Linked DNA regions of Cricetulus griseus. The protein of the gene in region 2 interacts with the protein of the main gene of each other region in a pairwise test. Links are inferred from orthologs where the notes say so. Each region holds a gene or a part of one and is shown on either strand. Other genes may lie near its edges.

Region 1 (4,577 bases), on a different chromosome or scaffold from region 2:
TAGAATGGAATTCTTGAAAAAGACCTGAAGTAGAAAATAGCAAGAACCTAGCTGCCTCCTTAAGCAAGCAAACCCTGGATAGAAACCACCTCAAGTCTTACTAGCCCTCATCAAATTCTCATCAAGCTAGCCCCAAAACTCATTCTCACTGTGAAAAAATAAGAGTGCAAGAAAGGCAAGAATTTAGGATACTCCAAAACATTTTCAGGAACAGAAAAAAATTCCTTAGATATCCTTGGGTGTTTTTCTCAGCTTAGCTATTTTGTAAGTTCTTCCAGGCTATGGCCCAAGGAAGGTGAAGTGCATAGGGCTCCCAAAATGTTCCCGCAGCCTTCTTGCTTAAAGAGGAGAGACAGAATAAGAAATCTGATCCTGGAAAATACCTGGAGCCTGCCGTGAGAGCAATCCTGAGCCCTCAGCAGTGTGCTGAAGAAGCTCAAATGAAGTGTTCATATTAATTTCATTATTCTACTTAAACCACCCAGATGAAGGGGCTGGTGGGGGGGGGGACAGAAAAAGGAAGGAATAAGTTTCATTTTGGGTCCTCTAGTCAAGCAATAAGAAAATAAATTAAGATGAAAGCGTAGGATGAGCCTAGCCTAAATCAATACACTGAAATCAGCCCAGCTAGAGTATTGGACACAATGGCTTGGAAATAATTAATAGTTATAAGGGGGGAGCGGGCTGAGAGCAAGGGATGTCACCATTTTACACTTCACATTCCACGCTAACTTTGATATCGGATTCAGGGAAGAAAGTGATAGAAAAGGGAGAAAGCAGGTCCCAGCCTGATGGACACATTCCTTGCTCCCCGTGGCTGGTCACAGCGATCTGGTTGCCCAGGCTGGTTGGTACAGCGCCTCGGCTTCCCCGCTTCCCCCCGCCCGCACGCCTGCCACGGCCGCCTCGACTTACCCACCGAGTCTGGGGAGGAGGCGCCGGCAGCTCCACGCTTCTCCGCGCCGCCGCTGCCCCTCGCCCGTTCGCCCGCCGCGCGCCGTCCTCCTGGGGCAAACTTTCGGGGTCTGTGACCGACAAGAGACCGGGACGACCCTCAGCAAGTCTTCCTTCCGTGAAGGTTTCGGGGTGGGGGGGATCGAAGGGGACGAGGTGATTAGGCGGAAGGGGGCGAGACCAGAGATAGAGGAGGCAACCTCCAAGCGCTCGGGGACAGGGGAGGAGGATGCGCGGCCGGGAATCCCTGCAGGGATCCGGAGACCCGGAGCGCGGCCTGAGCCTTAGTCTCAGCACCTTCCCGGGATCTTACAAAGTTGCAACAACAAAAAAGGAGGGGCAGAACCGGGGGAAAGGGGTGGGATAGGGCTGCGATGGCAGGCGCAAGGTTTGGAGTTACAACTGTTTATTTAGTCCTTAAGGCTCCCAGGGGGCGGGAGCTGCGCGGGAATGGGGGTGCTGCAGGCAGCAATTTCCAAGCAAACACGGAGGGGGGGGGGGCATGCGACTTTGTTTCTGGGCTCGGAGCTCCCTGGCGCCCGTGTGTGTCACCGCCAGTCTCCGGGGACTGAGGCGGAGCTCACAACAGGTGGGGAGGGGGACAAGGAATCAAAGTTTCCGAGAGCGGCGGGAGGGGGGGGAGCGCGGGAGGCGGGGGCGAGGGAAGGCGGAGGCAGCAGATGACCACGACCCTGCGGCAGCTGGCAAACTCCTCGGCTCCCGGCGCCGCCGCCACCGCCTCGGTCCCCACCCGAAGCGCGCGCCGCCTCGTCTCGTCGGCTCCGGAGAGACGTCTCCGGGGGACAAGAACCGAGTGCCGAGAGCACGGGAGGAAAGCTGCGCACAGGCGAGAAACGGAGAGCCATCGGTGGCCGGGACAGGGCCGGAGGGACGCGGTGGCACGCGCGTGTAGCAGGACAGATCCCTGAGCTTAAGAGGCGCAGGAGTCAGAAGCGAAAGTGTATGGTGGCGGGGGATCCAAAGTACGGGCGCCGAGGGTCCTCGAGACGTGCCCTGTCCCCATGCCCACCCGCGATTCGGCTACGGCTGCCGCGGGCGCCGTCTCTGACAAGCGGGGGCCGAACGCGCGTGGGGTGCGTGTCTGGCAGAGGGTGCGCGGGTGTGTGTATGAGTTTTCTGGGCTCCCAGGGGTTAGCTAGAGAGCATCCACACGGCTGAGTTCGGACCAAAACACGCGTGGCTACAGGGATGTCGCCAAGCACCGGGCCCAGGGCGCAGGCGTCCCTGCTCAGCCCTCCAGCATTCGCCGGGCAGCCCGGGGTACAGAAGGGGCACGCACCCTTGGATAGCAGGGGAAAAGTTTGCTCCAAGTTCAAACTTTGAGCTCGGGAGAGGATGCCGCACGCCCCCGCCAACCGCGGCCGGGTTCCGGGTACCCGTACCAGGCGGCCACCAAACGCTGACGCTGGGCACTCAAAGTTGCGACAGGCGGCCTGGGCTTATTGATCGCTGTACCCGAGCGGTGTGAGCGAGCGCAGGGGCGCGAGGGGCCAAGGGGGAGACGAGCTTGTCCGTGCGGTCACCACCGCACCCCACAGTGACTTATGCAAATGAACCCAAGGGTGCGGGCGCCTCCCGCGCTTCCTCCAAACCGGCGCCCGCGCGCGGCCCCCACCCACGCAGATCCTGGGCCCCGATTCGGGAGCGAGTCAAGAACAGAGGGTTGGGGGAGATGCACGTGGAGCCTGGAGATGAAAAGTAGGAAATTTTTTCTGTATCTTTTTTTTCTTTTTTTTTTTCCTTTTTTTTTTTTTTTTTTTTTTTTTTTTTTGGTGCTGGTTGTTGTTGTTGTTTAAAGTGGCGGAAACAAGGCAGGAGGCGGCTTGGGGAAAAAAAAGTGGAGCAGAAATGGAAAAATACGAACTCACCCGCGGCAAATGGTCTCTCGGTGCAAACTAAGGTGTTTTCGGGGCCTTTCCCCGCGCGCGCCCACTCCCGCCCGCGCGCGCGCCCCCCGCTCACACACTCACGCGCGCACACACGCACTCGCGGGCGAGGGCCGGGCCGCGAGCACAGCGTGCAGCTGCCACACAATAAATAACAATAGATTCCTCCGCTTGGGACTCGTTCCCGAGTCGCGCCAGCGTTGCAGCCGCGAGGCGCCCCCAACCCGCCCCAGCCCCCAGCCGGGTCCAAACCCCGCCATGCTCACTCCCGAGGCCCCCGCGACCCCCCGAGAGCGACCTACACCTCTCTACGCCGCCCTTGGGTCGCCTGCCCCCTCCCCGCGGCATCCCGGAACAAATAAATAAATAAGGCGCGCGCGAGAGGCCATCGCGTCGCGGAGGGAGATGTTGTTATTTTTTGCTGTTGTGCGTCTCTGACGTCACATCCACCTGCTGGGTAAACAACAGGGCTCGCAGAAGAAAAAAAAAAAAAAAAAAGAATCGCAATTGCCAAGTGAGGGACGTGGGGAGGGGAAGAGGAGAGGGAGGCAGAGCCCCGAAACCCGGGACGGGAACGCCACAACAGTTCCCAGGCAAAGGGAGACTGGATTGAAAGAGCTGGAAAATGAGGGGCCTGGGGGGTGAAGGGGTCCCCTCAGGAGAAGAGGAGAGGGACCCATGCAGACCCAGGGAAATGGAGAGGAGGAGTGTCAGCAACTAGGGACGCAGAGGGGAATGCCAGGGAGGTTCCGCTAAGATCTGAGCTCCAAAATCCAGGAGGGGAGAGGACAGGCGGAGATGGAGTTTCCTCCAGTTAAAAGTGAAAGTGCTTCGCCTGGGTGACAGTTGGAGCGGAGGGCGGCAGGGGCGGCGTTCCAGCCCCACGCCTGCTCTCGGGTCCTCCCTCGGTCTCTCCCCTTTCCTTCTGCACTTTGTCCAATGAAAGAAGGCGAGTTCGGAAGGTGAAAGTTCAGCTGAAGGACAAACCCCTGATTGCAAGGAAACAGAAACCCCTCCAGCCAGGGGGATTTTCCCCTGCATCGCGGAATCGGGAGAGAGTGATGAGAGCAAGAACTTACTCCCTCAGGCCTTGTCAGTCTCTGCAGGAATGTTGTCCCTGTCGCCAGGTCCACTTGGGGGGAAAGTGGCTGCAAGGAGAACTGTGTTTTCGCCACGGTTCCTCTTAAGAAAACACCCGGGGGCTAGCATGTCAATCACTTGTTTAACACAAATTACCTGCTCTCTCGAACATCAGTCACGTGAGAAAAAAGCTTTGTGCAATTCTTTGGGAAGGTGAGATTTTTTTTTCTTTTTGCTGTAATGAAGTTTGTTTGAGTGTGTGAATTTAAATAAGTACCCAAACGAGCCCAGATGAAATGTTTTTGAAATATAAATAAAAGTACATAAGACAAAAAGCACTTTTAGCAATATAAATAGGCAGGGAAGCTGATTCTGTTTTCAGCGCGGGTCTTAGAAACCGGACCTCTGTGGCTTCTAGTGAACAGAGATTATTTTGGGGTCTCCTCCAAAGCGCTTAGGGAGCTGAGGCTTGCTTACTGCCGTTTGCATCTTGAGAATAACACAGATATAAATAATACTCTTACTCCGTTATAATAGATTCTCCTGGATAATGTCTTTTGACAAATATTAAATGTTCATTTGCAGAATGTAAAACTGAATTGAAATGAGGTGAGACTATCATTTAAATTTATATCC
Region 2 (3,809 bases):
TTAGACAACTCCAAAGGAAATGATAAAGTACACTGCACTAGGCAAGGAAGAAGAAAAGCCAGTACTACAAGCAATTCAAATAAGGTATGCATATATAGGTTACTTTAATGTTTATTTTTTTGTTTTGTTTTGGTTTTTTCTGGTTTTTTGAGACACGGTTTCTCTGTGAATCCTTGGCTGTCCTGGAACTCGCTCTGTAGACCAGGCTGGCCTCGACCTCACAGAGATCCGCCTACCTCTGCCTCCTGAGTGCTGAGACTAAAGTAAAGGTGTGCATCACCAACGCCCAGCATTTATTATTTTTTGAAAATTCTTCCACTTCTATTTGCCTGTGTTTATCTTTCCTGTGTAGTTAGCCTATTTGTATAAACATATTATTAGACCAGTAAAAAAGAAAAAGAGCAATCGTAACGCTATGACTTTTTCTGTGACTGCTCTCTCAATCTGATGAAACAAGGTAATTTTTCCTGAATCATTTTTCTGGAAGACTATGATTAAATAGTAGAATATTCTAAGAGTTTATATATCCTCACTTCTAATGATACATACACATAAAAAAAAGTAGGGAGAAACAGTCAACATCTAAAATGATCGCACATGAGAGCAAGTAAAAAATACAAAAGTACAAACCTCGGTCAGTTTGCCACAGATTGTGCATCTCGATTTATTTAGAGTTCCTTTGGCAGGACTCTGCTTGTCCTCATAGAGAGATAGACAAGATGTACTACAAAATTCTTGGAAGGACTCACTTGAATCCACTTGAGCAACAATTGTTCCTTTCATTGTAGTTATATCTCTGAAAAAAATAAGAGGTACAACTTACAAAGCTCCATTTCAAAAGAAACCAAAAATAAAAGTTATACCTGATATTTTTAATTTCCACAGATTGACTCATGAAAATCAAACACCATTTTTAGATTCAGGAGATCACGTTTAGTATAAAATATGAACTCTTGGCAATAAAGATTAAAAAGTCAAAATATTTGATCCTGTCACTAATAATTTATCATCAAATGTACTAACAAGGCTTTCAGATATTGGAAACAGTAAAATAAAATTACCATAATTACATAGAATTAAAGTCAAATTATTTAAAATGATAGATAGTGACTGTTGAATTTGCCTTCTGGACTAATAGGTAAGCATAAAATTCCTAGATTATAGGAATTTAACATCAAGAAAGACTACATGATGTTTTTTTCCCCCTTTGGGGTTTTCAAGAAAGGGTTTTTCTGTGTAGCCCTGGCTGTCCTGGAACTCACTCCATAGACCAAGCTGGCCTCAAACGCAGAAACTCACCAGTCTCTGTCTCCCAATTGTTGGTCGTGCACCACCACCACCACACAGCTTACATCAAATATTTTCTACTTAAATGCACCACTTGCCAGGCATGGCGGCTCACATCAATAATCCAAATACTTAAAAGGTAGAGGCAAAAAAGGATCAGGAGTTCAAGGTCTCAATATACAGCTAACCTAGATTACATAAGACCCTGTTTTGACATAAATCTTTGAATGAACTAACTAACTAATTAGATAAAATGATGAACAAATACAATAAGGGGGGCATGCACCTGTAATCCCAGCACTAGGAAGAAATAGCAGGACTGACACAAGTTTGAAGCCAGAATGTCTTACATAAAGTTCCAAGATAGCCTGGACTACATAGCAAGATATCTCAAAAAAAATAACAGTTGTTATTATTATTATTATTATTATTATTATTATTATAAATATGACACTACTGACTTTAAAAGAAATACTAAATATCTAGACTCTCCATTACAGTATTTAAGTGTATTATAAAATAATCTAAACACAGGCTGGAGAGATGGCTGAGTGGTTAAGAACACTGTTCTTCCAGAGGACCTGGATTTAATTCCCAACACTCGAAGGGCAGCTTCACAGCTGTCTGTGACTACAGTTCCAGGGAACCCAATAACTATGGCAAAACACCAATGCATATAAAATAAAACTAATTAAAAAAAAAATCTAAACTCTATTGAACAATTGTTACTGTGCTTAGATTTACTTTAAGAATAAAGCACTAAGCCCTTCTTGGAGGTCTAATACCTAAAAATAGCTTCAGACTTAGGCAACTCCAAGAGGGCACAGAAAATCCATCTGATATGACCCTGCAATACATTATATCATCCAGTTTTGTTTGCTATCATTAAGAACAGATATAAAATAGGACAGAAACTGTATTTCTAAGGATAGCAAAAAAAAGTACCTGTCATGACACTATAACATTCAAAACAAATACTCAAAAAACAAGAAGATCATAAATATAAATACAATGCATTCTTAATAATGCATTTGGTAGTAGTCAGCCTCTATGAGGTGAGGCTCAAGAGCCGAGCAGTGGTGGCACACGCCTTTAATCCCAGTACTGGGGAGGCAGAGGTAGGCGGATCTCTGTGAATTCAAGGTCAGCCTGGTCTACAAGAGCTAGTTCCAAAGCCACAGAGAAACCCTATCTCGAAAAAAACAAAAACAGTAAAACAATGTAAATATTCACATTTTTACAATCAAGAGATCCATTGGAGATGACAATCAAAATAATTACAAGGGCCTAAACAAATTAGCCCCAAACCTACCAAATAGGAAGCTGAATCTATAATTTTAAAACATGAAATCATCCCCAAGAGTCTCAATGAAATTTCTAAAAACTTTTATGATCACTGTTCAACCACATGAAATTGTGTGAAAGGTTAATCTTACTTTTTACACATAACACAGAGTTTCTTTGGAGCAGGTTTATGAGAGAAAGAAGAAAGGCAGGTGGTTGAACAGAAGAGGTGAGCTGATCCTTTGCGCTGATAAGCCGTCTGTCCCTTCTGTAGAGGTTTTTTGCAGTTTGCACAAGTGACTTTAACTGGTTTAGTGGGTTGTTGCTGGGTGGGAGGCTGGAATATCTGTTTAGGAAGTGAGGCCACTGGTGATAAAGAATCCACCCCTTGTTGTTTCTGATTACGAGGAAATGATGCTGACTGAGAGATCCAAGAATCTTAAAAAGAAAATATAGAGAAAAGAATAATCAAATAAGTATTTAAGGACATTGAAATTTATTATCAAAGAAAAAGTTTTACTTTTCCAATTTGCCAAGGTTTATAATAATAATTAAAGTCACATGTGGTGGCTCATGTCTATAATCCCAACACTTGGGAAACTGAAACAGAAGGATTGCCATAAATTTAAGACCTGTCTGAATTCAAAAGTAAAACCTGTCTCATGCTAATGAAGCTTGAAGCAGCAATTTTGCCGAGGTAGAGTGCCTGTGGGTAAGACTGTTTGCTTTCTAGAAACAATATATTATAGTCTTAAAAATGGCAAGATAAGGCCAGGCAGTGTTGGAACACACCTTTGATCCCAGAAAATGGGGGGCAGAGGAAGACGGATCACTGTGAGTTTGAGGCCAGCCTGGTCTACAGAGTGAGTTCCAGAGCTGCTATACACACACACACACACACACACACACACACACACACACACACACACACACACACAACCCTGTCTTGAAAAACAAAAAGATTTCAAGTGTGTGTGGGTTTTTTTTGGTTTTTTTGTTTTGTTTTGTTTTTGTTTTCCCCCCCAAGACAGGGTTTCTCTGTGGCTTTGGAGGCTGTCCTGGAACAAGCTATTATAGACCAGGCTGGCTAGAACTCACAGACATCTGCCTGCCTCTGCCTCCCGAGTGCTGGGATTAAAGGTATGCGCCACCAACCGGCTCAAGAGTTTTATAAAAAGAAAGGAAGTATATAGTACAATATGTGATAGGCTTGATTTAGCCATTCCACAATGTATACA

What was found.
Region 1: the proteins of Zmym2 (region 2) and Foxp1 come close enough for resonance energy transfer, tested with the Homo sapiens proteins (2 studies listed by BioGRID). The link is inferred for Cricetulus griseus from reciprocal best matches to the Homo sapiens genes ZMYM2 and FOXP1.

Annotation. Positions count from the first base shown.
Region 1 is NC_048601.1:44,450,249-44,454,825, reverse strand, and holds the start of Foxp1 (forkhead box protein P1), read right to left. Parts: upstream 3,000-4,577; 5' UTR 2,844-2,999; intron 1,026-2,843; 5' UTR 916-1,025; intron 1-915. UniProt on the Homo sapiens protein: Transcriptional repressor. Can act with CTBP1 to synergistically repress transcription but CTPBP1 is not essential. Plays an important role in the specification and differentiation of lung epithelium.
Region 2 is NW_023276807.1:211,964,631-211,968,439, reverse strand, and holds part of Zmym2 (zinc finger MYM-type protein 2), read right to left. Parts: intron 3,010-3,809; coding exon 2,724-3,009; intron 797-2,723; coding exon 631-796; intron 1-630. UniProt on the Homo sapiens protein: Involved in the negative regulation of transcription.